Linked DNA regions of Alligator mississippiensis. The protein of the gene in region 2 interacts with the protein of the main gene of each other region in a pairwise test. Links are inferred from orthologs where the notes say so. Each region holds a gene or a part of one and is shown on either strand. Other genes may lie near its edges.

The links.
Region 1: the proteins of LRP6 (region 2) and GSK3A interact in binary tests that used the Homo sapiens proteins (3 or more experiments, as listed by UniProt). The link is inferred for Alligator mississippiensis from reciprocal best matches to the Homo sapiens genes LRP6 and GSK3A.

What each region holds. Positions count from the first base shown.
Region 1 is NC_081838.1:30,769,643-30,785,095, forward strand, and holds GSK3A (glycogen synthase kinase-3 alpha), read right to left. Parts: upstream 6,086-15,453; 5' UTR 6,071-6,085; coding exon 5,821-6,070; intron 5,114-5,820; coding exon 4,926-5,113; intron 4,847-4,925; coding exon 4,763-4,846; intron 4,398-4,762; coding exon 4,287-4,397; intron 4,206-4,286; coding exon 4,075-4,205; intron 3,870-4,074; coding exon 3,763-3,869; intron 3,688-3,762; coding exon 3,590-3,687; intron 2,673-3,589; coding exon 2,577-2,672; intron 2,508-2,576; coding exon 2,321-2,507; intron 2,245-2,320; coding exon 2,164-2,244; intron 2,088-2,163; coding exon 2,017-2,087; 3' UTR 1,540-2,016; downstream 1-1,539. Other genes in the region: ZNF526 (zinc finger protein 526), read left to right, coding at 1-1,096; ETS domain-containing transcription factor ERF, read right to left, coding at 8,086-9,140, 9,446-9,561, 9,742-9,976, 14,348-14,429. UniProt on the Homo sapiens protein: Constitutively active protein kinase that acts as a negative regulator in the hormonal control of glucose homeostasis, Wnt signaling and regulation of transcription factors and microtubules, by phosphorylating and inactivating glycogen synthase (GYS1 or GYS2), CTNNB1/beta-catenin, APC and AXIN1.
Region 2 is NC_081827.1:137,068,302-137,084,106, reverse strand, and holds the start of LRP6 (low-density lipoprotein receptor-related protein 6), read left to right. Parts: upstream 1-8,372; 5' UTR 8,373-8,531; coding exon 8,532-8,589; intron 8,590-15,805. UniProt on the Homo sapiens protein: Component of the Wnt-Fzd-LRP5-LRP6 complex that triggers beta-catenin signaling through inducing aggregation of receptor-ligand complexes into ribosome-sized signalosomes.

The DNA.
Region 1 (15,453 bases), on a different chromosome or scaffold from region 2:
CCATCGCCGCACCCATGCCGGCAAGAGCGGCTCGCCACCAGCCCGCCCACGCCCACCAGACCCCACACCAGCACCGCTGCCCACCACCACACCAGGCACCTTCCCATGCCCGCAGTGCGGCAAGGCCTTCTCCAGCCATCCACGCTTGGTACGGCACCGGCGCCTGGTGCACATACTGGAACGTAAGCACCCCTGCCCCACATGCGGGAAGCCCTTCAAGAAGCTGGTACACGTGCGTAATCACCTGCGCACACACACAGGTGAGCGCCCCTTCCAGTGCTGCGAGTGCGGCAAGACCTTTGCCTCACAGGCCAATCTGGCACGCCACCACCTCACACACACCGGCGAGCGGCCCTACCAGTGCGACGTGTGCCACAAGCGGTTCACGCAGTCCTCCAACCTCCAGCAGCACCGGCGCCTGCATGGCCCGCGTGAGCGGTGCCGCCGGGATGTGGCAGCAGGAGTGGTGCAGCGGGCACGGGGTGGGCAGCGCCGCCTGGCCTGTGTGCTGTGTGGCAAGGCCTTTGCCAACTGGAGCAGGCTGAGCCGGCACCAGCGCTGCCACGCGGGGCTCCGGCCACACCAGTGCCCGCTCTGCACCAAGAGCTTTGGGGCAGCCTCAGGGCTGCGGCTGCACCAGCGCACACACACAGGCGAACGCCCCTTCCCCTGCCCTGACTGCCCCAAGGCCTTCCGCCAAGCCACACACCTGCAGGAGCACCGGCGCCTGCACACAGGCGAGCGCCCCTACCGCTGCCCACTCTGCCCCAAGGCCTTTGTGCAGGCCATGCACCTGGCTGAGCACCGGCGCACACACACAGGCGAGCGCCCGCACCGCTGCCCACTCTGCCCCAAAGCCTTCAAGACGCTATCCAACCTGCGCAGCCACCGCCGCACCCACGCCACAGTGCCCACCCCCCCCGCGCCTGTCACTGCACCACCCACCCAGACCATCATGTGCACCGAGTTTGGGGAGGCCATTGCCATCATTGAGACAGCCGAGCCACTGCCACTGGCTGAGACGATCGAGATCTACCAGGCCGCCTTCGAGGGCAACCTCCAGCTGGACGCTCTGCAGGTCAACGCCTTCGTATAGGGCCGGGCCGGGGGGCCTCCCCTCCCCCCTGCACCTCGCCCCCTCCCCGCACTGTAAATAAAAATTCTGGTTTCAGCCCCTTGCGCTGGGGTCGGGGTATCTGTGCCCCTCGAGAGGGTGGCAGGGACTCCCAAGGACCAGGGACGGGGGGGGCACTGGAGCCCATCATGGGGCCTAGTTTAGCAATGGGAGCAGGGATCCCCCTCTCCCCCACAAGTCCTGCCCTGCAGCCCCTCCTCATGTCCCCAGTGGGGCCCAGGCATCCTATGCTACAGCAAAATAAGGCAGGGTGGGGTGTTGCCTTCTCCTTACCCCAGGAAGCAAGGGCAGGGCTGCACCTCACCCAGCCTCTCCTTGCAGACGGGTGGGGTCCAGAAAGTGCCTCTCAGCCCCTTCCCCTCAAAAACCAGCTGCCCCCCATAAGTCTCCCAGCACAGGCTGCCTCGGGTCATGCCAATAATTTATTGAAGGGGTCTGTACACAGCCAAGTCTAAGAAAAGGGCTAATGGGGCCACAGGCCACCCCCCCTCCAGCTCATCTGGGGGCAGCAGGGGGGGTGGGGGGGAGGCAATAAGAAAAAAATCAACTATTTACACAGCGATCCATAAAAGGAGGGGGCAGGGGTGTATTTACAAAAGGGGCGGGCAGGGACATAAAACTCCCATTGGGGTCCAGAGCATGAGGGGCCCCCCATAGTTGCGGGGGGGCACAGCCATAGCTTCCCCCCACCGGCTCTGGGGGGGACCTGGGGGAGAGGCTTAAAACTGAAAGGGACTTTAAAATGGGGGGCAGACAGAGACCTTCCCCCTCACCCCCCACAAGGCAGCAGCTGGGCCAAGGGGTCATTGGAAGGGACGCTAAACCCTCGCCCCCTTCACAGTTCAGTTGGGAGGCGGGGGGGAGGCCGGCCCCAGAGCCCCTCAGGAGGTGCTGGCGATGGGTCCCGCGCCGTCACCCAGCTGGTTCCTGTCACCGCTCAGGCGCCCCTCACCTAGGGGTGGAGGCAGAGTCAGGGGGCACTCAGGGATCCCCGACCCTCAAAATACCCAATGCAGCTGGCCACTCACCTTGGGGAGCCACACATCCCCCCAGCACCCGGGCGTGGGGGGGCACCAGGGTAGCGTTGAGCACAGGCTGGATGGCGAGCTCTGCAGAGAAACATGGTGGGGGTCAGGCTGGGGGGTCTGGGGGGCCAGCTCCCCCTCCCTCCCCCCCTGCACTCACCCACAGGGCTGAAGTTGAAGAGGGGGGGCAGGTCACGGCCGCTGGGCAGGCGCGCACCCGGCTCACGCAGCTCATCGAAGAAGGGATCAGCGCAGGCCGCCAGGGGCGAGAGGCGCGTGGCCGGTGTGTACTCTAGCAGGCGGGCGCACAGTGCCACCGCCTCACCTGGTGTGCGTGGCTTGAACACCTGGGGGAGCATTGGGGATCAGGGTGGGGGCACCAGACACCCCCCACCCATACCTTTCCCCCCACCTACCTTGGCCCAGGGGTGGGCCTTAATCTGGGGGAACTTGAACTCTGTGTAGTTGGGGTTCATCTCCCGGATTTGCTCCCGTGTGGGTGTCCCGAGCACCTGATGGGGAGAGGGGGGACCTGTCACACCAACCCCCACCACTGCCCAGATGCCTGGGTTCTCTCTCTGCTTTCAGAAATGAATGGGGTCCAAGATATCAGACAGCTGAGAGCCTGGATGCCTGAGTTCCAAGAGGGGAACAGGGACCTGGATGTCTGGGTTCTTTCTGCTTTTTGAGAAGAACAGGGCCCAGCAAGATGGGCAGCTGGGAGCCCAGGCAGCTGGGTTCTCTCTCTGCTCTTGAACGAACAGGGTTCAGGAAAATAGACATATGGAAGCCCAGACGCCAAGGATCCAGACTCCTAGGTTCTCTCTCTGCCCTTGGAAAGAAATGGGGTCCAGCAGTATGGGCAGCTGGGAGCCTGGGCACCTGAGTTCTCTTTCTGCTCTTAGAAAGGAATAGGGTCCAGGAAAACAGGCAGCTAGGAGCCTGAATGCCTGGGTTCCAGGGACCCAGATGCCTGGGTTCCCTCTCTGCTCTTGGAAAGGAACGGGGTCCAGGTTGGTATCCCAGATACCTGGGTTCTGGGAAAGGAATGGGGACCTGGACTCCTGGGTTCTCTTTCTGTTCTTGGAAAGGAATAGGCTTTGGAAGGACGGGCAACTAAAAACTCCAGACACGGGTTTTCTCTTTGCTTTTTGAAAGAAACAAGGTCCACAACAGGCAGCTGGGAGTCTGGACTCCTGGGATCCAGGAAGGGAACGGGGACCCAGATGCCTGGGTTCTCCTTTTACTCTTGGAAAGGAACAGGGCCCAGGAGAACGGGCAGCTGGGCCTGGATTCCTGGGTTCTGGGAGGGAAATGGCGAGCAAGATGCTTGGGTTCTTTCTGTTCTTGGAAAGGAATGGGCTTGAAAGGATGAGCACCTGGGTACTGGCAGTGCAACAGGACCCGGATGCCTCAGTTCTCCACCTACCTTGATGATCTCCACCAGCTGGTCTACACCGCTGTCCCCAGGAAAAATGGGCTGCCCCAGCAGCAGCTCGGCCAGCACGCAGCCCGCCGACCAGATATCTGTGGACAGGGCAGGGTATCAGGATGCCTGGATTCCCAGCCCGGCAGGCAGGGGCAGGATGGGGGTGCTCTTACCTATGTTGGACGTGTAGTCGGTGGCACCAAAGATGAGCTCGGGGGCCCGGTAGTAGCGGGAGCAGATGTATGAGACATTGGGCTCGCCCCGCACCAACTGCTTGGCACTGCGGGAGAATCGGGGCCATGAGCCAGAGCACAAGGGCCCAGCCACAGCCTTGCACAGGGGCCCAGCCACGGGGAGCAGAGGGAGGCAACCCACTGGCCTGGCTCTCATACCACCTCTGACATGATAGGGGAGGAACCCTTGCACAAGGGGCTGGGCACGAGTGTCAGTGGGGAGTAACCCTCGCACAAAGGGCTGGGCGTCACCTGCCGAAGTCGCAGAGCTTGAGCACAGCCGTGTCAGGGTCAACCAGCAGATTCTGGGGCTTGATGTCGCGGTGGCAGACACCCTGTGAGTGGATGTAGGCCAGACTGCGGAACAGCTGGTACATGTAGACCTGTGGGCACCAGGGGATGGGCGGTCAGCACAGCGAGGGGGGGCAAGGAGTTTCTCCCCACATCCCCTGACCCCACCTTACCTTGACATAGATGACCGGGATGGTCTGCTTGGCCTTGGAGAAGTGCCGGGCCACGCGGTACACCGTCTCCGGCACGAAATCCAGCACCAGGTTCAAATAAACCTCGTCCTTCTAGGAGGACAGGGGGTGAGACCCCCTGGGATGCCCCCACCACCACCACCCCTGTGCATCCCTAGCTGAGCAACATGGCTCCCCAGAGCCCTCCAAGGACCCCGGGTCTCCTCCACAGTCCCCCGCTCCCCTGACAATTCTGGCTCACCCTGCCCCAAAAATCCTGACCCACTATACCCCAAACTGCCCCCCCCCGCTGACAAGTCCCAAACTGCTCCCCAGCCCATGACAGTCCCAGCCCCACCCCCGCCCCAAACTGCCCCAGGGCCCATTGATAGTCCCAACCCACCCTACACCAAATTGCCGCCCCTGCTCATGACAGTCCTGCCCCTCCCTCCCCAGGCTGTCCCCCCCAGCACCCCCACCTTCTCCCCGCTGGAGTAGAAGAAATAGCGCAGCCGCACAATGTTGCAGTGGTCCAGCTTCCGCATGATCTGCAGCTCCCGGTTCTGGTGGGGGGGCAAAGAGTCAGGGTGAGTGGGGGGTCCCAGGGGTGGGGGGAAGGGAGTCCCCTGCCCCATGCCTGACCTTGAAGCGCTTGTCCTGCAGCACTTTCTTGATGGCGACGAGCTCACCTGAGCCGGCCAGGCGTGCCTGGTACACAACACCAAAGGACCCGTTGCCGATCACCTTGATGTCAGAGTAGGAGACCTCCTGCGGGCGGTCAGGGCCCTGCCCCGGTGTTGCCACCACTGTGCTCAGCTTCCCGCTGTCCCCTATGTAGGGAGGCACAGGGTCAGGGGTGCGAGGGCTGAGACCTGCCACCCCCCCAGGTGGGTGTGAACCCCACGTGGGAGCATGCATTGTTGCCCCCCCCATAAAACTCTAGCCTGTCTTCCCAGCCAGCCCCATCCCCCGCCCCAATAAGGACACTGGAGAACCCTCTAAAGCCCCCCCACCAATTGGGCACCTTTAGACCATAACCCCCAAACCCTAGGAAACACGAAGCCCCCCAACCCTGACCCAGTGCAGGGGGGGACCCCCCAGGACCTGTTGCTCATAGAGAAACCTCCTCAAATCGCTCTGGAAGCCCCCCCACAGGGAGCATTCCCCCAGCCTAAACCCCAAGGCCCTGGGCTCCTCCCCCAAAGAACCCCTCCCTCCCAGCCCCGAACCCCTAACCCATGGGGACCCCCCAGCCCTGCCCCTCCTGCCTCCCTGACCCCCCTAAACCCATAGGGACCCTTCCACCCCCTCCCCCAGGTCGAGGGACCCAGCCCCCCCACCCTGAGCCTCCAAGATCTAGGGGACCCCCCAGCCCAGCGCCTGCCCCCCAACCCCTAAGAACCCCCCCTGGCGCCCTCCCCCAGGTCTAGGGGAAACAGCCCCACCCCCAAGCCCCCCAAAATCCATGGGGAACCCGCCCGCCCCCAGGCCCAGGAGCCCCCAGCCCCATGGGAGCTCCCGCCCCGCCGCCACTCACGGCCCAGCTTCACCCCCGCGGGGAAGGCGCCCCCGCCCCCCCCCGGCCCGGGCCCGGCCTTGCCCCCCCCCGCAGCGGCCGGGATCGGGGCCGCGGGGGGCGGGGCGGCGTCGGCGAAGGAGCCGGCGCGCGGGCGGGACGGGCCGGCGCTACCGCTGCTCATGGCGAGGCCGGAGCGACTGCGGCGCCTCCAGCCGCCGGCCCGGCCCCGCCCCGCCCCGCGCGGGGGCCGCCGGGAAAGCGAGTCCATCCGGCCCCGGAAGCGCCGGCGGGAAAGGGCGGGGCAACAAATGGCGCAGGCGCGGGCGGGGCCGGCCGGGAAATGGAGTCCCTGAGAGGGAGGGAATGAGGCATCTGCACATGCGCGCGAGGGGAGTGATGGGAGAATGAGGCAGGGGGCGGAAGGAAATGGACTCGCGTAGATAGGAGTATCTGTGCATGACGGGAAATGGAGTCCGGCAGGTAGAAAAGGAGGAGGTGTGCGCATGTGTCCGAGGGGCGTGATGGCGGAGTGAAGCCGGGGGACGCTGGGAAATGGAGTCCCGCAGGTCGGAGGGGTAGATACCATGTACGCCTGTGAGTGACTGGAAATGGGCTGCGGAGGGTGTGGAGGTCTGCGCATGCACTGGAGAGATGTGACCGGAAACCGAGGTGGGCATGCCGCGAGGGATTCCGGTAAATGGAGTCTGGGAGCGTGTGGGGGGGGGGTGTAGGCGTCTGCAAGGACTGACAGGAAATGGAGACTGGGAAATAGGGTGTCTGCGCAGGAACCCTCGTGAGCTGCCAGTGACGTCACGTGCTGCCGCGGGGGCCGACGGGAAAGCGAGGAGGCAAAATGGAGAGGCTCCGAGCACGCAGCGCGCGAGAGCCGCAAGGGGTGGCGGGAAGGGGAGTCCAGCCGCTTCCCGAAGGGGGCTGCAGCTCCCAGCTTGCACGGCGCGACGAGGGAAATGTAGTCCCAGCTGTTGTGGGGGGTTGACTACGTCTCCCAAGAGGCATTGCGTGAGGACGGAGCGACGCGAGGCGTCCCCGCTCCCTTGCTCTGCGCGCTCCCCGGGCGCGCCGCTCCTCCTCCCGTCTCCGTGTCCTCCCGCAAAGCGCGGCCGGAGTGAGGGGTACCGGCGGGGGGAACGCCCACCGCGGCTTCCCGCCCCGCCCCCAGCTTCCCCGCAGGGAGGATGTGGCGGGGCAGGGCGGGCCCCGGACGCTCTGGCTTGGGGCAGTGCCAGAGCCGGGGGAGGGCTGTGCACCTAGAGCGGGGCACACCTGGCTTCTCCCTACGGCACCAGGGCAGTGAGGACTGGTGGTCAGAGCCGCCTCCCACAGCCCGGGCCCAGCTGCAGCTTCTCCTTCCTGGGTGGGCTGTCCAGCGCCCGGGCCCCGCCAGGCAGGAAGGGGTTAATGCAGCCGGACTCCGCCCCGGGCTGGGCGCCCCCCCGCCCCGCGGCCCCCCCAGCACCACCCGTACCGGAAGTCTCCAAATCACTGTTTATTGGTTATTTTTCGCGGGTTTTATACATTCGTAAAAGAAGCCGCGGCCGGTTCTGTACAACAAGGTCACTAAGGTGGGGGGTCCCCGCTGCCCCCCAGATGAGGGGGGATCTCCACCCCGGGCGGGAGAACCCGGGGGGTGTCAATGGCTTCTCTGTTCCTAGGGGGGCAAGATGGGGGCGGGGGGCAAGGGAAGAAGTCACTTCAGGTCCCCCCCAGGGTGTGTGGGGGGGGGGGTGGCACGGCCCCCTGGACCCAGCACAGCACAGGCACTTGCAACAGCCCTGAAAGCCCCGGGGGGGGTAGGGGGGCCACGGCCCGGCCCCAGGGGCAGATTTTTGGTTTCCAGCAGGGAACCCCGAGATCAATAGTGGGGGGGGGGGGAGATGTAAGGGGGTGGAGCCCAGCCCACAACCCCCCAGGCCTTGCAGACCCGAGAGGGGCACATGGCCCCCCCTGCAGAAAAGGGGCCTGACGGGGGGGGGGGGGGGGGGGGGGGGGAGAGGAAATTGCTTCTTGTGCTTCCAAAAAAGGCCGGGGGGGGGGGCCAGGACCCCCTAAAACAAGGCAGCAAGTTCACTATAAACAAAGGGGGGGCAGTCCCCATGCAGGGGGGGGGGGGGGGGCTGAAAAATAGGAGATATCTATAGGTATTTATATATGTATAGGCATAGAGGTCCCCGATGTGCCCCCCAACCCCCCCAGTAATGGTGAGAGGGGTATAAAGGCTCCCCCCCAGCACAGGGTGGGGCAATAAGGCAGTGAGGAGGGGGTCTAGCAGTCCCGGTTCTCCAGGGAGAGCTGGGCTGTGGCAAGCTGCAGCTCAGGCCCTGGCTCGGCCTTGGCCTTCTTGTCATCGGCAGGGGTGGGCGCGGAGGCCTCAAGGCGCCGGTCCTCGCTCCAGCGCCGCTTGAAGCGCAGCTTAGGGGGTGCAGCAGCAGCAGGTGTGGGGGGTGGCAGTGGGGCGGGTGGCTCAGGGGCGGGCGGCGCCTTGAACACATCCTCATCATCCTCGCTCAGGTCCGTCACCTCCACCGTCTCCTCCTCTGAGTCGCCCTCGGACACCGGCTCCACTTTGATGCGTGGCGGTGGCTGGGTTGGTGCCGGGACAGGCTCGGACAGAGCAGTAGAAGCCTTGCGGCGCCCAGGGGGTGGTGGCTGCAGCTTGAACTTGAAGGGGGCAGCGCCAGGAGGCTCATCTGGGGGCTTTTCAGGGCGCTGGGGCTGGGGCACCACCAGGCCAGGGTAGTGCAGGAAGGCGCGGGGGCTGAGGTGGTAGTTGTACACGCTCTGCGTGTGCGCCTGCAGGTAGCGCTTCATGTCCTCCGGGCTGAAGGAGAAGTGGGACCCGCCGGGGAACATGGGGCTGAGGGTGGGTGAGGGTGTGAACGGCACATGCCCAGGCGTCAGGGGCAAGGCAGGTGAGAGCTGTGGGGGCAGTAGGGCGCCTGGCCCAGCCAACGGCGACACAGGGAAGGGGCTGAGGGGCTCGGGAGCGCGGGGCGGTGGGCGGGGGTACACGCGGAACAGCCCCTCAGGTGCCAGGCGAGGGTGGGTGGGCAGTGGGGGACCCCCACGGAAGGGGTCGGGGCCAGGTGGGCGGCGTGGGTCCTCGCCCAGAGGCTCCTCCAGCTCCGAGGCGGCCGAGGCGGCATCACTGCAGTCGCTGACTGAGCCGCGGGCCAGGCGCCGTGCCACGGCCGCAAAGACACCCGGTGAGCGCGGGGCCTCTGGACCTGGTGACAACACTTCACCTGGCGTGGCTGGCGGGAACCGGAAGTGCGAGGCACCCGACGGCACTGGCGGCGCGCTCTGTGGCACAGGCCCACCTGCAGGCACACAGCTGCAGTGAGCTAGGGCACAACCCCTCACTCGTGACCTGCTGGTGCCTGCTCCCTACCCAGTGCCCTTCACTTCAGCCCTGCAGCTCCTCTGGTGCCCCTCAGTCCCAACCTGCCACCCCCTGCTCCCCTCCAGTGCCCTTCACTCTTAACTTGCAGCCCTTTGCCCCCTCACTCCCAGCCTGCCCCACCCAGTGCTCCTCACTCCTGACCCACAACCCCCCTGCTCCCACCCCTGGTGCCCCTCACTCCCAGCCCACCGCCCCCTGTACGCCTCTGGCCCCCCCGCTCACCGGCCATGCCCATGTCGATGAAGGGGTAGTTGACCAGCACCAGCTTGTTGAAGTTGAACTTGTAGGTGAAGCGTTTGCCCTTGGTTTTGTGCAGGATGCGCTTGTTGTAGTAGTACCTGGGAGGAGGGCAGACCAGGGGTCAGCACCACAACCACACCCAAACCCCAGGGACCTCAGCCAGCCCAGTGAGTTGGGGCACATGGGGTGCCTGGGTTCTCCAAGTCAGCTGTGGGGGCTGGGGGGCTACAGCACAGGGATCCCGGGGAGCTGGGACACCTGGGTTCTCCCCCACTCACCGCAGCGCCCGGCTGAGCTTGTCGTAGTTCATCTGGGGCTTGCACTTGCGCACGCCCCACAGCCGCGCCACCTCGTCCGGGTCTTTGATGACGAACTCGCCATAGTCGCCCTGCCAGGCGATGACATCGTGGTACTCCTCCTTGCGCAGCAGCTCCAGGATGAAGTGCCACAGCTGGATCTGCCGCGAGCCCGGGCTCGACTCTGGCTTGTAGGCCCAGTCCGGGAAGGCGAAGCCTGGGAGGCAGCGGGGGTCAGGTAGAGGCTGCTGGCCCTTTAAGGGCTATTCCCAGAGAGGTCAAAGTCACCCCCCAGGGGCAGACTTGGATGCCTAGGTTCTGGGTTCTGCATGGGCACGGGAGCCGAAGGGTTAACCCCCCCAGGTCCCCACAAGGTGTGCACATCACCCCCACCTGGGGGGCAACAGGAAACCGGTTTAACTGAGCCCAGGGCCAGTGCCAAGCCACCCACCCTCCCCCCCCACAGAAGAGCTGGTGCCCCTCACTCCTGACCCCCAGCCCCACTAGTGCCCCTCATTCCCAACCCGCAGCCCCCCCAGACTAAACTGGTGCCCCTCACTCCCAACCCACAGCTCCCCCCAAAAGAGCTGGTGCCCCTCGCTCCCAACCCGCAGCACCCCCCTCCTGACCCAGTGTCCCCAGACCCAAGGCGCGCCCCCCCCAGTGGTCCCCAACCCCGCTGGCGGGGGTGGGGTGGGGGGTGGGCAGGGGGAGCGGGCGGGTGGGATGGTTGCCGGCTGAGGTCACCGCCTCCCAGACAAGGAGCCTTTTCTCTGCGCCAGGCGCCCGCCCAACCCCGGCCACATTCCTGGGGGGGGGCGGGGGAGAGGGGCTGGGCCTAGCCTGCAGCCTGGGACCCCCCCTTACCAATGCACACAGCCCCCTGGGATCCCCAGCGGAGCCCCCCCCACCCCAGGGGCATGTCTCTGTGGACACACCAAGTTTTGGGGCACCCAGCCCCCCCCATCCACAGGAAGCTGGGAACTACCATTTTCCAGAAGGCCAATCAGCCACCTAACCCACCTCCCTTGACCCATCTTGATGCCCCACCTTGGAGCCCCTTGGACCCCCCCCTTGGAGCCTGATGCCCCCTATGTCAGGAGGGTACGGGGGGGGGGGCAAGTGCCATCACCCCCAGGCAGCTCTGACCCCCCTTTAACTCCATCAGTTCCAGAGCACCCCCCAGACCAGACCCAGGCACTGGGGAGGCAGGGGGCGAGTGGGGGCTGTTTCCTATTTCCCGAACCCCCAGTGCTCGCAGCCCATCAATAATTCAGGGCTGGTAATGGAGGCCGGGAGCGCGGCGGCCGCAGACGGAGCTGGCGGCATGAGCTCAGCCCCCCGGGGGGCTGCCCCCCCTCCCTGGCCCAGCTCCAGTGTGGAGGGAAGCAGGGGGGCCGAGACAGGGCCTGGCCTGCTATAGGGGGGAGCAGGATCTGATCCAAGAGGTTGCAGAGGACACCAGGCTGTGACACAGGGCGGGGGGGGGGGGGGGGGGGGGGGGGAGGCACAACAGGAGCTGTGATTTGTGGGGGAGGGACACAGGGGGGCATGAGACTCAGGATCCGGGGGCCTGGGGTACAACTGAGCTGGGATATGGGGGGGCTCTGAAAGCCATGGGGAGGACAATGCAGCCTCCTGCTGTACCCCCCCCCCACAAACAGTGCCAGGGTGCACACACTGCCACCCCCCCCCACCGCCGCGTACCAGTCTCCAAGCAACAGGGAACGGAGAGTGCAAGAGCGCGCTAAAAATAACCTGCTGGGAGGGGAGGGGGGGCTGGGCCCCCACCCCAGGACCTGGGGGTCTAGCGCACCCCACTCCTGAAGAGACCTCTCCAGGTAACGGGTCACTTCCTGTCCTGAACGCCCACCCAGGGACCCACTCTGCAGTCGTGGGAAGTCCTGAGGCCCACCCAGGGACGCCCACCCAGGGATGTCCCAGAGGTGGGCGCACATCCCAGCATTGGGGACCCCTCAGGCAATTTGGGGGAGGCAGGCTGGAGCTCAGAGCCGCCCCCCCATCCAGCTGCAGCTCTCCACCCCCACCCGGGCCCACACACGCACGCGCACACACGCGCGCGCGCACACAGACACACACACACACACACACACACACACACACACACACACACACACACACAGAGGGGCCTGTTCTCACTACCAAGGAGGGGCCCGACACCAGCCCTGAATGGGCCACTGTTCCTGGCCTGGCGCTGCCAGACACGCAGGGGCACCCCCCCAACACCGCACAATTGAGGCCTCCCTGGTGCCTGGGGGGGCATCCTCGTGACCCCCGCCTCATGAAGCTGTCCCACCCCCATTCGATCCCCCACCCTTAAGAGGGGGTGGGAGCACCCCCCCAGCTCCCAGCAGGCTCTGATCCTGGGGGGGGGGTACACACAGGGACAGCTCAGCCAGTGACTCAGCCCCCCCACCTCCCACTCCTGTGTGCCAGGCGTGGGGGGCACACGCATACACAAGCACATGGGAGAGAAGGACTGGGGGGGAGCAGGAGCCAGCCCCTCACCCCCCCCACACACGCGTGTGCACACGCACTCGCGCGCACACAATGCGCTGCCTGTTCCCGGCCAGGCTCCTTCCAAGTTTCCTTCCCAGCGTCTCCACTCTGCGCCAGCCCCCCACCCCGTCTGGGCACCCCCTCCCAGCCCAGCCCCCACCCCCCAGGTCCCTGGCTAGGGGGAAAGTTTAGAGGACGGGGTGGGAAAGGGGCCCATGTCTCTTTAATGCCCCCTCCAGCCCCAAAACCGCACGGGCCTGTGACTAATCCCTGGAGCCAGCAGCTAAAAGGCCTGGGATTGAATTCCAGCCTGGGGGGGAGCGGTATTACATCATCCCCCCCCTCGTGTGCGAGCAGGCAAGCACATAGGCAAGCACACACACACGGGCACACACACACACACACCCCCCTCTTAAAGACACAGGTGATTGCCCCCCCTCCCTGGGAAACCACAGCTGGGGGGGGAAGTGAGTGTGGGTCCCCCTTGCATGTGCATGCACACACACACACACAGGCCCCCAGCTCTTAAAAGACATGGGGGCACAGGGGGCCCACACACACATGCTCGTAAAGACAAGAGCTGGAGGGGGGTGTTGAGACACTCCAGGGAAAGAAGTGTATGTGTGCGTGCCTGTGTGTGCGTGCACGCTTGTGGCCCCCTTAGACACACACACATGCTCTTAAAGACAAAAGCTGGGGGGGGTTGAAACTCCCCAGGGAAACTGTGGGGGGGAGCTGGACACTCGTGCCTGTGCGTATGTAGGTATGTACGTACATACACAATCTTAAAGATAAGAGCTGTGGTGGAGGCTCAGACATCCTAGGGAAAGTATAGGGGGTCACAACTGTGTGCGCGCGGGTGCGCACACACACACACACACACACACACACGTGGTCCCCCTAGAAATGCACACAAGCTCTTAAAAGAAGGAAGAGTTGTAGAAGGAGTCAAGACACATTAGGGAAAGTGTGGGGGCCCACAGGCGTGCATGCATGTGTAAGCATGTGGGCCCCGGGACACACCAAACACAATAGAGGGGGGTTGAGACACCCCAAGGAAAGTGTGGGCGGGGGGCACACAAGTGTGTGCATGTGTGTGTGTAGGTATGTGTCTTCAGTGCCCCCCCCACACACACAGACAGGAGTGGGGGGGGGAGAACACCCTTGGAAAAGTACAGCTGGGGGGCACAAAAGTGTGTGCATGCCCCCCCCCGTACACTGTGCACATGCACACACTTAGACACAGGAGTTGGAGGGGAGGGTGAGACCCCCTAGGTAAACTGCAGGGAAGGGCACTGAAGAGTGTGCGAGTGTGTGGCCCCACGCATGTGCGCGCGCACACGCACACATGCGCGCGCACACGCACACACACGCGCTCAGCCCCCAAGTCTTAAAAGACTGCATGTGAAAAATGAAGACACACAGCTTCCCCCACCCCCACTTAAACACACAGAAGTTGGGGGGGTAGAGTCCCCCCCAGGGAAACGGGGGGGGGGGCACGCAGAAGTGAGTGGGGGGGCACGTGCCCCCCCTTAAAGACACACGAGTCTATGGGGGGCCGAGACCCCCGGGACAGTGCAGGGGGGCACTGAAGAGTGTGTGCGCCCCTGAGTCCCCTTTGTGTGCGTGCACCCGCGTGCCCCCCCGCGGGCCGTGCCCCCCCCTGCCATTTTCTTGCCCCGTCTCGGAGTTGGGAAAAGTTTGGTGGGGGGGCTGTGTGGGGGGGGGAGCCGAGGGGGCGGGGCACTCCCAAACGCCCGCATCCCACATACAATCGCTGGCGCCGGGGGGGTCCCCCCTCCCGGCCCCCCGCGTGTCACGTGGCCCCGTGGGGGGGGGGCGGAGCCCCCCCCCTTAAAGGTGCCGCGTGGGTCGGGAACAACAAGTTCTTCTTGGACTCTCAGGTACCCCCCCCACGACCCCCCCAATACAGAGGGGGCAGAGAGCAGCTCCCCCCGGCAACGTGGCAGCCCCCCCCCGCAAGGACTTGGGGGAAAGCAACAAGTCTTCCCTCCTCCCCCAAAAAAACTTCCGCCCCCCCTAGGTGCCCCCCCCCCGCAGTCCGCACCTGCGTCCGCAGGGGTCTTCATGGCTCCTGCGCTGCCGCCGCCGCGGGCTCGGCCCCCCCCACCCCCCCGCCCCGCGCTCATATGCACCGGGCCGCCCACGCCCCCCCGCACACGTCACCGCCGCGTCGCCATGGACACTGGGCCCGCCCCCCGCGGCCCCGCCTCCGCCCCGCCCCGGCCCCGCCCGCGCTGTGGGGGGAGGGCTGCTTAAAGGGCCCGCGCGGGAAGCGAGGGGCAGCCGGCAGGGGGCGCTGCGCTGGGGGGGTGGGTCGAGAGTGAGGGGCCCAGGGCGGGGCGAGTGGGGGTTGCAGGTCGGGAGTGGGGGGTACCAGGACGTAGGGTCGGGAGCGAGGGGCACCGGCGGGGGCACCCTGCAGGCGCCTCGGGGCGGGCGGGCAGGCGCGGGCAGGCCGCAGGAATGCGGCAGGTCCAGGCTGGGGCTGGGGCGGTGCAGAGGCCTGTGGAGTGGGGCGGGGAGCAGGTCGGGGGTTCCCGCCCTCAGCCAGGCCCAGGATGGTGGCCGGCGGGGTGGGCTCTGGAGAGCATGCACAGCCACGCCTGCAAAGGCACGCGTGTGAGGCCTGTGTCACAGGTGTGAGGCCTTATGGGCCGGGGCGGCTCAAGGGGCCAGGGCACGTGTGTGCAACATGCCGAGTATGAGGGGCAGGCAACGTGTGAGCGTTCTGTGACCCCACCCTGGTGCCATGTCCCCATGCATGTGATTGTGTCGCACCAAAACGCCCGTGTCTTCATGTGTGGAGCTGCCATGGCCTATGTGCAAGGGCACCCGTGTGCCCAGAATGGTTGTGCCAACACAAATGCACGCGCACAGACACAGCCCCATGCTTGGAGATTTGCAGGGGGGCATCCTAGGTGCCTGGGTTCTGCGTGTGCAAGCACACAAGCGCATCCCTAATACTCGCGTGCGAGCATTCTCCATGCCTGGCTCGCGTGTTCATGCATGTCCTGGATTCCTGGGTCCTATATGGACATGTGCCCTGGGTGCCTGGATTCTGCATATGTGTGTGTGCATGTAAGTGTGCGCTGGTGTGCCCCAGATACCTGAGTCCTATGAAATGCTTTTGTGTGCATCTGTGCCCAGATA
Region 2 (15,805 bases):
AGTAGTCTGCATGTGCAGAGCTTTAGCCTCAAAGCAACAGCTCAAGCTGTTTCTCATCTTCAAGTTCTTAGCTGTGTGAGAACATTTGTGGCAGGCCACTTGGAGCCACAAATAAATGTCTGGTTGTCATTGTAAGCATCATGCCAGCTGCTAGTAGTAATAGGGAAGGAAGAAAGGAACAGACGTAAAGCACATGTAGATGACCATGAAAAGGGCATAAAGAGAGAGTGGCCACTGTGTATGGCAAAAGGGAACTTGAGTGGGCAGCTAATCTACTACTATGTAGGCACTACAGATGAAAGGAACAATCACTGTAGGAACAGTGAGTGTCATGCTTGTTATATAAATAGACTTCTCTGGTAGCAGCAGAGATATGAAGAGACTGGACCAAGATACAGGGATGAGATGAGGGGGGTCTCTAGAAAAAAGACAAATATTCCATTTGCTCATTCAAGGAAATCTATTAACTTAGCAGTGGAGTGTCAAAATGTGTCCCTTTTGATACTGGCCCAAGGGTTCACTAACTCCATTCTACCCACTGGTTACAGTAGCAGTATTGTAAAGAGGCTATTACCTTTTGGAACGGGACCAAAGAACAAACCCCTTTAGCTATAGTTATTATGAAGTGCATTCACCATAATTTTATAACTGACCTGGATTTGGAAAGGACAAGAATTAAGTCTTTTACGAGAAGTGAATACAGGGATTGTGGAAAGTGTCAGAGTGATGATGCTGGAAGCCAGTCTTCTATTTATCTAGTGCCATAAAATCAATGACAGTTCAAACCATCATTGCATTACGTTCTTCTGCACCCCAACCTTTCCTTTTCAGGGTGAGAGAAAACTTGATATTGGTGAGAATTTTGCCATTGATTTCAGTACAGCCAGCACTTCACCCTCCAGTGCCCATTGAGCAAGGGAACTAATCGTGCTGGTGGTTTCTGTTACCAGCTCACCAGACTTCAGCCCTGATACCTGTAAAGGATCCCATTGACTTCACTGGGACTTAGTGTTTTCATAAGAATCCATCTTTGTGCTTGCACAGATCTCTTTGCAGAGGCAGTCTTTGGTTGTACTGAACCTACAGTCAGAAGGTTGAGTTCTGAAGCAACTACTAAATATTAATCACTACAAGGAACTCTATATTACAAAAAATGCACATCCTCTTCTCACTGCCATTTATTTTGTTTTGCCTTTGAGCATAGATCAACTAATGTACCGAACCAGGTCTCTCAAACTGCTGCAGTGTAGAATGCATGAGGTACTTATTATGTGGTACTGCTGAAATAGAGGTGCACCAATAAAGATTTTCTTGGCAGATACCTATAGCTGATTATTTACCAGGCATATTGGCTGATACCAATCTGATAGCCGATTTACAGAAGCACAGCGAGGCAGCATGGAGAGCAGCTCCCTGCAGGAAAGTCTGGAGGGGAAGGGGCAGGGGGTGGAGCAGATCAAGGTCCCTGAAGTGAGGGAACAAGTGGGCGGGGCAGGAAGTGGGATGGAGCCACGGGTGGCTCATTCAAGGGATCAGCATTCCAGCATGTAAAAATTTCAGTGAGGGTGGTTGAACTAAAGGTCATCAAATGACCTTTGGTTAGTGCACCACCACCACCACCACTTTTAAGCACAGGGACACTTTTAGGAGTAGAGCGGAGCAGGGAGAGGTTGGATGCGAGCTGCCTGCTGCAGGCTTGGGGCTCTCCACCCTGCTGTCTTTGCCCTGGGAGCTGGTGCTAGCTGCATGTCCACTGCCTGTCCAGCAGTGGGGGCTACAACTTGCCGCTGCCAGACAGACAGGGGACACATGGCCAGCACACAGCCCCTGGGACAAAGGTAGCAGGGCAGAGAGCCCTGAACCTACAGCAGGCAACCCGCATTCACTCCACACAGATCTGGGGGGGCACATGTCCCACCATGACTCCCTCAGGGAGGTTTGCAGTGGCAGGGAGCCATGCCCTCCCATCCCGCATGACCCCTGACAACCTGCCTGTGGCTCTGTCCCACTCCCTGCCCTGGTCCCATTTGCAGCCCAGGTTGGGCAGTGCCCCCAGCCCCTGCCCCACTCCCTCCTTCACCATGGAGGCCTTGATCTGCCCCCCCATGGCCCTTTCTTTCCACAGACTTACCTGTAGGGTGCTGCTCTCCACACTGCCAATCGGCATTCCTGGCCATGTGCATCTGGGGACCCCCACCAGAAGGTGTATTATGTTGATCCATTAACTTTATCGGCTCATCAGCCAAAAAAACCCAATAGCCAATAATGTCAATTCTCCTTTTATCAGTGCCGATCCAATATGGCATAGATCAGTGCACTTCTACTCTAAAATAAACTACATTCTGCATTTCTGAGCTAGAAATAAAGCTAGAAAAATACTCTTGCTTCATTCTTCATTAATGATTTGGAAGATGGAATGGAGTGCACTCTCAACAGATTCAAAGATGACACCAAGCTGTAGGGAGTAGTAGATATGCTGGAGGGTAGGGGTAGGATTCAGAGTGACCTAGAAAAATTGGAGGATTGGGCCAAAAAAGAAATCCCATGAGGTTCAACAAGGACAAGTGCCAAGTCCTGCACTTAGAACAGAAGAATCCCATGCACTGCTGCAGGCTTGGAACCAACTGGTTAAGCAACTGCAAAAGAGGACCTGGGTGTTACAGTAGGAAATAAGCCAAATACGAGTCAACAGTGTGCCCTTGTTGCCAAGAAGGCTAACAGCCCATTGGCCTGCATTAGTAAGAGCACTGGCAGGGGATTGAGGGAAGTAATTTTTCCCTTCTATTTGGCACTGGTGAGGCCACAGCTGGAGTACTGTGTCCAGTTTTGGGTCCCCTACTACAGAAAGGATGTGGACAAGTTGGAGAGAGTCCAGCGGAGGGCAACAAAAATGGTTAGAGGGTTGAGGCACTTGTTGTGTCCCTGTGATGCTATAATGCATTGTATACCAGACAAGGAGACTAAGACACAGTTGTTCTAAACTAAAAGTAAGTTTATTGAACCCTAACAGATACAACTCTAATTAGAACTGAAGCAGCCTTAGCAGTTAAAAATGTTAGGTTTGTAGCTAGTCAAAGCAGATGCTCAGCACCCTGTAATGTTGCAAACACAACTTCACTGCTTGATCAGGCCATGAAGTCTTCTTGTCCAGGGCTCCTGGTCCCCACATCTGATGTCAAGACAGGATCTTGGATCGGTGACAGGATCTCTTCAAGCTTTCTTCAGGAGTGTTCTGAAGGATACACTCCCTCACCTTTCTTTATATCATATAGCTTGTATTTCTTAATATGTAAAATTAGCTTAAACTTTCCTCTTAATACACATTGATAATCTTGCTTCTGTTTGCCAAATATGGTTACCTTTAACTAGAATTTTCTATCTTGAAGTAATCTTTTCATTCTTAGGTGGGGGTAGGTTTTGCTCTGACTGTTCCTCTTTTGCCCATACCACATTTATTCCGTTTAGTTAGCTAGCTTCCTGATTAATTTTAAGTCAGAGACAGTATTTTGCCATCTGTTCCTTTCACTGGGTGCATGTCTCAACCACAATGCAAGCTAGGCATACAGCTTGAGCCAAGCACAAGGGTCAAACCAAAGCCTCAAGGCCTCTGGGTCCCAATACACGTGACTTCTGGGGAAAGGCCACAGGAATTGGGCTTATGTAGTCTGAAGAGAAGACTCAGGGGGTGGGATTTAATTGCAGCCTTCAACTACCTGTCTGTAGAGTGGTTCCAAAGAAGATGGAGTTAAACTGTTCTCAGTGGTGGCAGATGACAGAAAAAGGAGAAATGGTCTCAAGTTGCAGCAAGGGAAGTTGAGATTAGATATTAGGAAAAACTGTCTCACTTGGAGTGTAGTAAGGTACTAGAACAGGTTACCTAGAGACGGGGTGGAATCTCCATCCTTGGAGGGTTTTAAGGCCTGGTTCGACAAAGCCCTGGCTGGAATGATCTAGTTGGGGATGGCCCTGCTTTAAGCAGGGGGTTGGGCTAGATGACCTCCTCAAGTCCCTTCCAACCTTAATTTTCTATGGTTTGGTGGAAGGGGTAAAGGGGGTTGGGCTCGATAGCTCAGGGAGAGATTCCTCCCCCCTTGTGTTATACAATTCACTACAGATTTTGCATTCCTCTTTTTAAAAGGTTAATAACTTATTTTAAATTATGACTGTACAATTTAAATTACACTACAACATTATGCAATTGCTATTTCTTCTGGACCTAGCTCAGATAACATTCTGCTTTTCCTGCAATGCTGAGTTGTGCTGACCAGGGCTGGATATAGGTCACTTGGTGCCTAGGTGCAGGTAATAGAATGCCATCCTTAGTGACTTTTAGGGGTGCCTGGGACACTCCTGAGTCTCTTTACATTTGCCCTTCCTGCTGGGAACAGACCCCCGCTTCACTTACCTGCCAGGTCCTGATGTTTCTTTGGGTTCTGAAGAGGAAGCTGCCCCAGGGTTTCCCAGTAGGGTCATGAAGCTCAAGAACACCTTGCAGTGACGAGCATCAGCCTTAAGGGCTCTTTGTATGCTTCTACCTTCCCTTAACATGCTCTATGCCTTATAGGTGTTGCCTGTATACCATCCATTTGTGGGGGCTTCAGCCTCCTGAGCTTCTGCTCCTTTTTATCTGGCTAGGCCTACCAGCCAAGGTCCACGATTTAAGACTTGACTTCGAGGCCCTAGCTCAACAAACCACTCTGGGCTCCTGGCCCGTTATACCACGGCACTGGGCTCCCCAGTCTCTTTAACACTGCACCCCTGTGGTGCTGAGTTGTTGGGGCCTCAGCCTTCCCCAACTTTACCCCTTATTCTATACCTTGGCCTCCCAGCCTAGGCCCACTTGGTAGGACCTGACATTGAGGCACTAGGGCATCCCTCCACTCCGGGCTGCGTGCCCTGTATGGTTGTGCCTGCTATAGCACAGGCTCTTTAGCCCTCCAGCTGTGCATTGTGGACACTAATGAGGTCTCCACCTCCCCTACAGCCTCAGCCACAACCAGTCTAAAAAAAAACATAAACAATAAGCCTCTGCGCTATAACAAAAATAAAGGCAAAGAAGACAATTTGCCTGCTTATGTTTCCAGGGTCTCTGTCTCTCTGCATCCCACCACTAGCTGCTCGCTCTCTCATGAAGCTGCCCCTACTTTGTGAGTTCTCAGGAATCCACTCTCTCTGCAACTTAATCCCCCCCCAGCCAGTTTAGGCATCACTTATGTAGTCCTGGCCTGAGCCCTCTTCCAATCACCTGATGCCCCCTCAGCTGACCAACCAGCCAGACTCAGCTTTTAACCCCTTTTCTGCCAGTAGGATGTGCCCTGAAGGCTCTGGTCTTAAAGGGGCTGCCCTGCTTTCCAGTAACAGGGCTAGGGTTCCCTGTTACAGTGCAGCATGGCATGCAGAAATCCCTGCTCTGCCCCTGAGGTTTGCATTCTCCAAATGCAGTGGCAGAGGCAAGGGAAGCCATTTTCCCCATTAAGAGACAGAGGGCAACATTTGGTGTCATTATCTACCCTGCAATGGCAACAGGGGCCCTCTCTAAGTCCCAGAGATTTCCAGCGTTTCCCAGTATCTACCCTGACTGATGATGAAATCTATTTGGCTGGTGGCATAGCTGTACCTCCTTTCACACATCAGGTACTGCCTCACCAGCAAAAGGACACTTGCTGGCATACAAGCATCAACAAGCAGGGTATTTTTTCTGGCATCACTATGTTGGTTAGGTGGCTTGATTTATTTTTTTACATGCTTCTAGTTGACTTAACTCTGATAGGAAAATCTTGTAATGTAGATCCAGCTCCAGCAGACATCACTACTTTCGTTTACACTATTTATATTCTCAAGCTTGTCCTTGCAGTCATTAAACTAGAAACAACCTACTTTATAGAACTGTTTTCCATGGAAGCTGAGATTCAGATATAATCACACGGCTTCAGGACCTGGGGCCTCATGCAAGATCCATAATCAAGTCAAGTGAGTTCAGAGGTCACTGTGACCACTGGGGCACCTTAGATGCTGTGCATTATTGGTGATTCTTCAGGCAAAGTGACATAGTGGCACCCATCTCCTCTCCAGGTATGGGATGGCCGCTGTCTCACAGGGAGCTCATCTGCCCTTTGACAAGTCTTGTTTTTATTTCTGCTGGGTGTCCGCACATACTCCTCACTCAGGCTAGCCTGGTGGGAGCACCGGTTTAGTTGCCAACAACCCGACCCAGAACAGGCTGTACTGGTTTACATGGTACCAGAGAGCAGACCAAGAGAAGCCTGGCTTGACAGATCCATAATACCTAATTTTAATCTGGTTTTGATGCTGATTTCCTGTGATAAATAATAATTTGAAAGAATAAGCAATTATGAAATATTTGTTGAGCAAGTATTCTTTTTTCTGTGTTTCTGATAGGTCTGAACATGTTATGACCATTTAATGTGATATTCTCTCACCTTCTGCCGTAAACGTTTGTGTATTAGAATTGTGTTCTATTAAATGGTTGTTACAAGGCAGATAAGAGACAAAGTGGTGGGTAAGTCCTTATGTATGTCTCATTGTATGAATCAGTAAATGGAGCTTGTAATGTGAATGAAAGAAACTAATGAACAGAAAATGTGTCAGTGGATCCAAGTACAAAAGACCAGAATACCTTGGAAAAGAAGTATTTTAAAGTTCTTATAAATGGATAACCAATATACTGTGCCTCACAAAACTGTGAAAATCTATTTATAGTAGTTTTCCAAGCAAGGGATATATTTCAGTGGACATTATTTGGGGAAATGGTCCAGAAAGTGTGTTTAGGTATGAAACATAGCCTCTCTGTTTTATATTTGGGCTTTTTGACCACTTTCAAAGTAAAAAGGGAAAAATAATGGCGACCAAAAAAAAAGCAAACAGGGACATTTGTGTGAGCAATTGATCAGGCAACATTACTGCAATTAAGCAGCAAAATCCTGACAAAAGGATTAAGGTAAGCAATGAGGAAAGGCAAGATTGTCGCTTGCCAGTTCGCACGGGGGACACGCACACAGATCATAGCTTTATTGTACAATGCAAGTTTTTTTTTGGGGGGGGGAGGAGAGACAGGCTACTGATACTCGAGCACTACACGACTGAGCCAGTTCGTTCCTTGTCCCCACCCCCGGCAGCGGTTTTCAACCCTGTTTTCAGACTGGAGGCCCCCCCGGGAAAACTCTACCTCTGCTTTGAAGATGGAAAAATAACAGGGCAGCTTTTCCCTCCCCAAGAGCTGCGAAGGGCCACCACAAGGCAGAAGGTTTTGAATCCTAGGGATTCCTAGTTGAAGTCTCTGGGTTCGTCCCGGGATCCACCTTGCGTCCCCTCACGCCCAGGGCACACAAAGGAGACCCCAGTCCCCGAGGTCGGACACGTCGCGGCTGCTCCAGCGGGACCCCGCGACCCGCTGCCGGGGGCGTCGCATGCGCTCTGCCGCTGCCTCCCCGCCAGGGGAGCCGCGCGGGCCACCTGCAGCACTGGCAGCGGATCAGGCCGCCCTTTGTGACGCGGCGGCTGCGACTCCGGCTGCTGTCCTGTTCCCGAAAGTAGACCCGGCTATCCCGCTCCCCGAAGGAAAAGGGAGGCGAGGAAGAAAATAGTCCCGTTGGTATGCCGCCGCCGGCGGATGCGTCCCCGCGCCTGTGCAGTGAGGTTTGCAAAGAGCCGGGGCTGCGGGACGCGCTACACACAGTGTGGTGTAGGACAGGGCAGTGGACGGAGGTGGTGTTATGCGATGTACTCCAATGTACAGTAATGTACAGCAGTGAAATGCGATGCACTCCAGTGTAGTGCGATGCAATGTGGGGCAGGGTAACGCACTCCAGTGAATGGATTCATAGATAATACGCGGCAGGAAGGGGCCTTGGAAGACTGTCGTGTCCCGCCGACCTGCACCCAGCAGGAAAGACAGCTGGGATCAGAGAATGTGATGCACTGCAGTGTAGTATAGGGCAGTGAAACGCGATGCAGTCCAGTGCACAGAGGTGCAGTGTAGAGCACTCCAACGCTGCGTGGCGTCCGGCAATGCAATGCACTCCCATGTAGCGTGCTGTATGGCAACACAATGCAATGCAATGCAACGCACTCCAAGGCAGGGGAGGGGAGGGGAGGGCAGTGAAATGCAATGCGATGCACTCCAACCCCCGAGTGCAGTGCCGTGCAATGCACTCCCACGCTGTGTCAGGCAAAGCAATGCACTTCCGGCTGCCCAGCGCACGGACGCACGCAGGGAGAGGGCCTGGAGGCTGCAGGGAGACAAGCGGGGCGGGGCGCCGGTAGGAGGCGGGGCCCGTATCCCTGCGCTGAGCTGCGCTGCGCACACGGCGGGGGTGGGCCAGGCGCTCTGATGGGGGCTTTGCAGCAGCCCTGGCGCGGCGGCGCGGCGGAGGCGGCGGCCTGCTAGGCAGGGGCAGGAGCGCGAGCGCGCCGCGGGGCCCCCCGCCCGCCCGCCGCAGCATGAGCCGGCCGCAGCCGCGGGGGTGCCGCCGCCCGCCTCCCCCGCGCCGCCGCCCGTGAGAGCCGGGGACATGGGGCCCGCGCCGCGGAGACTGCTGCTGCTGGCCGCGCTCTGCGCCCTCGCGCGAGGTGAGGCGGCCGGGGCCATGTTGCGGCAGGGAGAGGGGCTGGGGCCGGGGCCGGAGGGGCTTCGGGGGTCCCCTGAGGGTGGCGCTGGGCTGGGCGCGGGCCCCTTCTCGCCTCCGTGTCCCCGCTCCCCTCGGGCGGGGGCCGTGGGCAGGGCATGGGGTCCTCTGCGTGCCGAGGGGGAAGGGGTGGTCTAGAGGCCGGCCTTGGGTTGAGCTTTACTCCCGCCCCCCACAACAAACCAAGCGCCCCGTCGGCAAGCAGCGTACGATGGGTTTCTTTGAGGAGCGCGGGGCCTGGCGGCTCTGTCCTGAGGAGTGTTTATGGTCCTTCTTGAGCATCTTGAGGGGCGTTAAGCTCCTCTCATCTGTCCTGAGAAGTGTTTAAGGCTCTGCTGAGCTGTCCTGAGAAGCGTTCACATCCTCCTTATCTGTCCTGAGAAGCGTTAGGCTTCTCTCTCCTGTCCTGAGAAGCCCCTCACATCTGTCCTGATACTTGTTTCAGGCCCTGCTGATCTGCCCTGAGAAGCGTTTCAGGTTCTGACCCTGTCCTGGGACTTGCAAGAAGTTTGTGGTCCGGAAGCGGTGGGTTGCAGTGACTGATGCTCTGCATTTTCAGAGCTCCTCTGAAAGCTGGCAGTTGGCTGCCATTCAACGTTTTTAATTGAACTCCCCCCCCTCCCCCCCTTCCTGCGCTGTGGAGCACAAAACTGCAGCCAAGGGATTTCTGTGCTGTACGTTTGACTATAATAACTGTTTCAGCTCATCTGAAATGATCTCTGTTGGTTAGGAGGAGGCACCTAGTTGGCATCTTTTTTTTTTTTTTAATTTACTCTTTTACACAGTTAATAAGGAAGGGGGGGAGGCTTTGATACTATTGGGGGGGAAAAGCAATCCCATTTTTTACTTAAAAGCTGGCCAGCTGGCACTAATGAGTTTGTTTTGATGGGAACTGGAAGGAAGGTGGTTTGGTTTGGAGGAAGTGCTTGATAGCCAGTTGCTCAGTGCTCTGGAAAAGCAAGATTTCGCCACGGCAGTCCTTGTCTTCCCATGCATCTGTTTGCCATATTGTATCCTGTTGGAGGGAGAGTTATACTTAGGTACATGAGCTGTGTAACATTTCATGCCCTACTTGTGCTAGAAAAGTTTGATTGGATCTCAGGAATAGGAATGAACCAAAACTTTTCTGAATACAGCATTTTCTTATTCATGTTTTCTTCATGCAAATGTATCTAGCTCTAACTTTGTTTATGACTTGGCTATTTTTTTTTCCTTTCGCTATAGTGGCAAATGGAGGAGGATTTTGGCACTCATGACTGTCATTTTTTCAAATTAGCACACAGTTGCATATACTTTGCAAGTTTTCATGAACCCTGTGATTCTTAGGGAGAAACTTTTGAAAGACATTAAGTTTGTAAATCATCCTGGATTGTCACCCCCCCCTCCTCCCATCTTTGTCTGTTGCTAAAGACATTTGCATCAAAACAGTATCTTTGTTTCTTCAGAGTTCATCTGCTCCTGCTGCTTCTCTTCCCACCTGAAGTCTTACTCTCAGTGACATTACAGTAATTTCCACAGCAGCTAATTGTTATTTTGGATACCTATAAGCAGCAGGAGCAACTAGCTGAGTGCTGAAAGAAAGAAAGCTTGAATTTTCATGCAGATGCCCTTTCTAATAAACAACATATGATATGCAAGCAGAATTGGCTCCAAGTAAAATGTATTCAGTTTTCAAGAGGTGTCAGCAGTTTCTTAATGAGGCAAAAGCAGTTGCCAGCTTGAGAATGTTAGAGGTATGATTAAGTTTATACATGCAGGTAAAGGGGAAGTTTGGCATATGTGTGTTTACTTCTTTCTTTGTGAACTCAGCACTGTGAAATGTGCCAAACTAACAGCATGGGAGATGTGAAGGATGCTTGATGTGCAAAAGATGCAGTGGAACACATGCTTTCTTTGCCTACCTAATAGCCAGATGACAGCAGTAATTTCTGTTAACGTGCCTACCAACCCAGAGTGAATTTAAACCAATATCCTGGAAGTATAAGGTTGCAATTAAATCCCTTATGATTAAGACTTGGAAAAATAGCAGACACCTACTAGTTAAAGTGGATATGTAATATATAGGACCTCTTCACCAGTCCTGGGACTGTGAGAAGCCAGGCCCGCTACCAGGTGCAGAGTGTATGTTGGATTTATAGTGGGTTGATGTCTCTGGAGCCTACTGAAAAGTTCCTTTGCTTGTGGCAGCCTCTGGCCTACTTTGGCAGCTGGAAAGAGAATATGTGAGGAGTCCACCTTATCCTAGAACTGCCCAATGGCTGGAATTCTCTGAACAGCAGCAGTGCCTGCTATTGCTTGGAGCTTTCTCCAAACTACAGAGGAGTGTGATGGACTTGGTTCGTGTCAGCTTCACTGTTTCCCACTGCATTTTAATAGTAGCTGTGAAACTGCTGGAGTATTATTAGATTATTCAGTGCTGCATGGAGGCAGCAGTAGCCAAGGAAGATGATACCACTTAAGTTTACATTTGCAAACTTAACTTTCCTGTCAACCCTGCTAGGTATGCATCAAAAGTTGACTGAATAGAAAGCTTATAAATCATGTATGGGCTTTACATATTGCAGTATTTGAATACTGAACAGGTCTGCAGTTGTGGTTTGGGTCAGTTCTGTAAGAAATGAAGTGTTTGGTTGGGGGACTGACATTTCAGTGATTGCTTTTTCTCATTATGTGAAGAGATGTAGAATTTGTTTGGTAACTATTTTTATTGGACTAACTGTGTAGTTGGGAGAGACAAGCTCCTGGGCAGAAAATTAGAGTGTATCCCATATTAGAGATGGGTATATGATATTGTATGTTGTTCTACTTGGTTTCCCTCTGTCTCACCTGAAAGCTTTCTGAAACCAGTATGATCTAAAGTTTGGCAAACTCCATTATTAATACAGAAGTTGCCACAATTGTATCTCTACAGCATGTTGCATTGTCATCCTATAATCACTGAAAGACTCTTTTTAGGAGAGTGATTATTACATCTGTGGCAGAGTTTTTAATGTGGCTGAGATCTAAGATAAAGTAGCATTATGGAAAAGGATGTTAAAAATGTGATGGAATATGCTAGTATTTCTGTTTGGCTAAAGTTTTAATTTACTTTGCCAGAAGTTTGTGATAATGATGCATTGCCTATATCCTCCTTTTAGGAGTATACAAGGTTTTAGCTGAAAAATGTAAATTATAATATTTTATGATTAAATATATTATTCAGAGTGACGTTAAGCAATCGTGGTTTATCCTGCATGTCTGCTCTCCTCCCCCTCTCCCCCGCTGCCTCCCACTCTGTAACTGGTGTCTTATCTTCACTCACAAAATTTTTAGCAAGGTGAGAGATTCTCTTGTGTATATATACAACTGTGCAGCTAGGAAATAATATGGGAATATTCATCTGCCTGTCTCTGGGAACAGAAACATCTCTGTATTTTCAAACATCTGTGTCTGCCTTTATGATGACACCCCCTCTTAGAAATCCTAGCATCAAGAATTCTTCCTCCATAGACCCATTCCCCTGTTTACTTCTTATTCTTAAGTAGAGCACAGTATTTTAATTTTTCTCCCTGACTCTTGGGGAAAGAAGAATCTCTCATCTCTTGATCTATTGCCATTCATCTCTGGCAGCCAGCCCTCATCTTCAGTCCAGCATGCTTTGTAACCCCCTCAGACAATGTCAGGTCTGAGTTTATACTTTTTTTTTAACCACATAAAAAGACTAGAGCAATTTTTCTGTTGCAAAGAAATCAGACCATAACAGGGCAGAATAGTTTGGACATTAGAGATTTCATACAGGAATCTATAGGTTTATCTTGTGCATCATGTTTGCACACCAAACAGTGCTAACGTTGTGTGGCATCCCATGGCACCTGTGAAAGGATCTCAGGGCACCTCAGGGTGCTGCAGCACCCTGGTTAAGAATCATTGCGCTAGACCTTCTTGGACAGGATGCTTGGAGGAACTCTGCCAGAGGCATGTGGCAGCAAGGGAATGGAAGTAGGCCCCACAATTTCATCCCTATTAGCTTTCTGCTCCTGCTGTCATAGTCACTGCAGGGAGGATGTTGACAAGGAGGTCTGATGACCCTGAGGGGACCATGTATGGGAGGGAGGGGCCATATAAAAAATGTGTATGTGTACACACAAATACAGTCCAAACATCTGCTTGAGGGTCTTGAGATGCCAGACTGTGTTTCAGGTGAATTTCACTTGTAATTAAAGAAATACAGCTTATTATACTCTCAGCATTCATTGTGGTAGACAAACTGATGAAAGATGCTGTGCTCTATGAATTTTGTGGCCAAAGTGTACTTCAGGGAAATAAGCTCTCTTTTCTAACCCTTCATTGGACATGTGCAAAGAAGTGTGGATTGAAAATGTGACACTGTTGTGAGGTAAGGATTTTTATAGGTGATATTTTTTTATTGCACTAGAGTCGTACTTGGGAGGAACCCGAGACACCTCCGTCCCTGGCACCATGACCAGCTGAGGGTTTTTCAGCAGGGGCTCAGTAAAGCCTGGTACAGACTCCAGGCTTTACTGGAGCAACCATGTCTGGGATAAAGAAACTCCCCCCAGAGGTAGTGCAAGCACCTACTCTGGACTCTTTCAAGAAACATTTGGACATTTAACTTGCTGAGATCTTTTGACCCTAGCTGACTTCCTGTCCCTTGGGCAGGGGGCTGGACCCGATGATCTTATGAGGTCCCTTCCAGCCCTAATGTCTATGAAATCTATGAAAGTTAGACAAGATTTTGGGCACAATTTAACCTTTTTCAGGTCACCTGCCCAAAAAGTTATTAAAAGCTTTCCCAGATGTATTTCCCAGGAAATACCAAAGAGACAAGGATTTTTGTGGCTGATATCTTTAACTGAACCATCCTGGCTACAACATCACTCTGAGTCATTTGGTACTAAATTGCTTTTCCTTCAGTGAAAGAAAATCAGTTGCAGTATCTTGTCCCAGGAGAGGGCTGTCAGTTTATCTTGCAGTGGTCCAATCATTGCTGTCAAGTCAGTGATCCTTTTTTCCTTTGTGAGTCGTTAAGAATATAGTCCAACAGTTGGAGTTTTCCACACTGAATTCTGAATTCCTGTTGCCAACAAGCTGCTAACTATCCTGTAGATTAGAAATCTGAAGGAAGATGAGAACACTTGGAGATCCTTCTTTGTACTTGAAAAGATAAATAGATACTTTTTCAAACATTTCTGTCTAGAGTGTTTAGACTTGACAGGCTGCTCAAGTATTGAAAGTGTCGACAAAGGAAGATAGTTAAAAACTGAGGAAGAACTTTGAGTTCTGCTTAGGATTTGGTGTTACCATGAGCTTTTCATGAAAGCAACCTGCACATCAGTGTGAAAAAGGAGTTGCTAATAAAAGGAACTGTGTCCTCAAAGACAGAGCACAAGGGGCAGTGTTTCATCAGAAAGCACAAATTTAATAACACATTGACTTAGCTTCTTGGACAATTCAGTGCATATTTTAATCACTCTCATATTGCTTCACATTTCCCACAAGTATTTCTGATCATCGAGGAAATAGGTGTGATTATTTTTGTTTCTACTTAATCATGCTGCTCTTCTTGCATAGGTGCAGATGTGCTGGTTGCAAAACACCATTATTGTTACATGTAGAATCTCTTAACTATTTGTTCTTATGTCACAGCAAAGTTTCTTTTTTCTGTGCTAGCAAAGGCAAGTGATTGTTGGAGTTACCAGTAACGTAGTTTGCAAACAACAGAAGTTGTGCAGTGCACCAAGTAGGGTGGAATGATTTATGACTTAAATAGAAATAGGAAAATACTGATGTCATTGTGCAAAGAACTGTTTTTACTGTAGATGGTTCTGGTCACTTGTATTAAAAAAAAGTGCGGAAATGGAGAGCAAATGTTCAAACTGGGAAAGGTGCAGAGTAAAAGAGTTTAACTAGTTTAGCGTAGAGAAATTAAGGTTAAGAAATGTGATGACTGATTTCTCTAACTACATGTTTGGAGGGGGGAGAGATACCAAGGAAGATTCATAGATTGATGGGCTGGAAGGAACCTTGGAAGATCATCGGCTCTAGCCCCCTGTACCAAGCAGGAAAGATAACTGGGGGCCAGGTGACCCCAACAAGGTGACTGTCTAGTCTCCTGTTGAAGATTTCCAGGGTAGGTGATTGCACCACTTCTGGAGATGAAAATTCTGGTGAATAACAAGCTGGCCAAGAGTAAATTCAGGTTCAAGGAAAAGAACAAAGTTCTAAAACAGGTTTCCAGTGTAAAGAATGTGGGCAAAAATCCCTAACTATTTAAAGATGAAGTTTATGAAGTTTTTGAGAGGAGCTGTGATATGGTAGTCTGCCATAGCAGTCCTAAAATGTCCATGATTTAGGGCTGAAAAAAACCCCGTCTCTTAAGATTTGAGTCATCAATGTTAATCCTGATTTTAAATCAGCCAGTATGAAGACTCTATTTAAATAATCAGTAATCTTAACTTGTTTTGCATTGTACTTCTTCCTAAAGAGTTCATTCTCCTTGGTTGATAGCGACTAAAATATATTGATTTATAAAGGAATGCAGCATTTACATTAAATTGTATAGTTCTTTGCATTATCTACAAGCATTTACTTTATCTGGACACGTTTATTCAGCACTTGCTTAGCTCAACACATATTTTTTTCAGATTTCTAATTTTTTTATTTCTTGTTAGGAGCTGAGTGAACATGTTGTTTAGAACACATCCTTGAATAAACAGTTAATTACCAGACTCTATTTGGATTCAGGTTCAGTAAATAAATAAATGTGGAAGTTCAGCATTTTAAAATTGTACCAAGAGGTAAAGTAGTATGTGAACTTCAAGAGCATCATCTACTTCTGTAACTGTGTATGTACATGCCCTTACACCACAGTAAATACAGGATAGCTAATCTGTTAATGAGAGAAGAGTAAGTTATTTTATGTTTACTAAGAGTAGTTGATGTGCCTATGCCTTAGTTGAATACAACTTCTTGCGTATATTGGGTACAAAGAAATAAAGTTATCAAAACATATTTTGTACTTAAAAGTAAGGGGATATTTCCTGTAATTAGTGGATTGATTGTTTCCGTTTACTGCTGACCAGATTTTAAACATTATTTGGACATCTAAAGATAAATGCTGCAATATGATTGTGTGTATGTGTGTGTTTATATACAATATA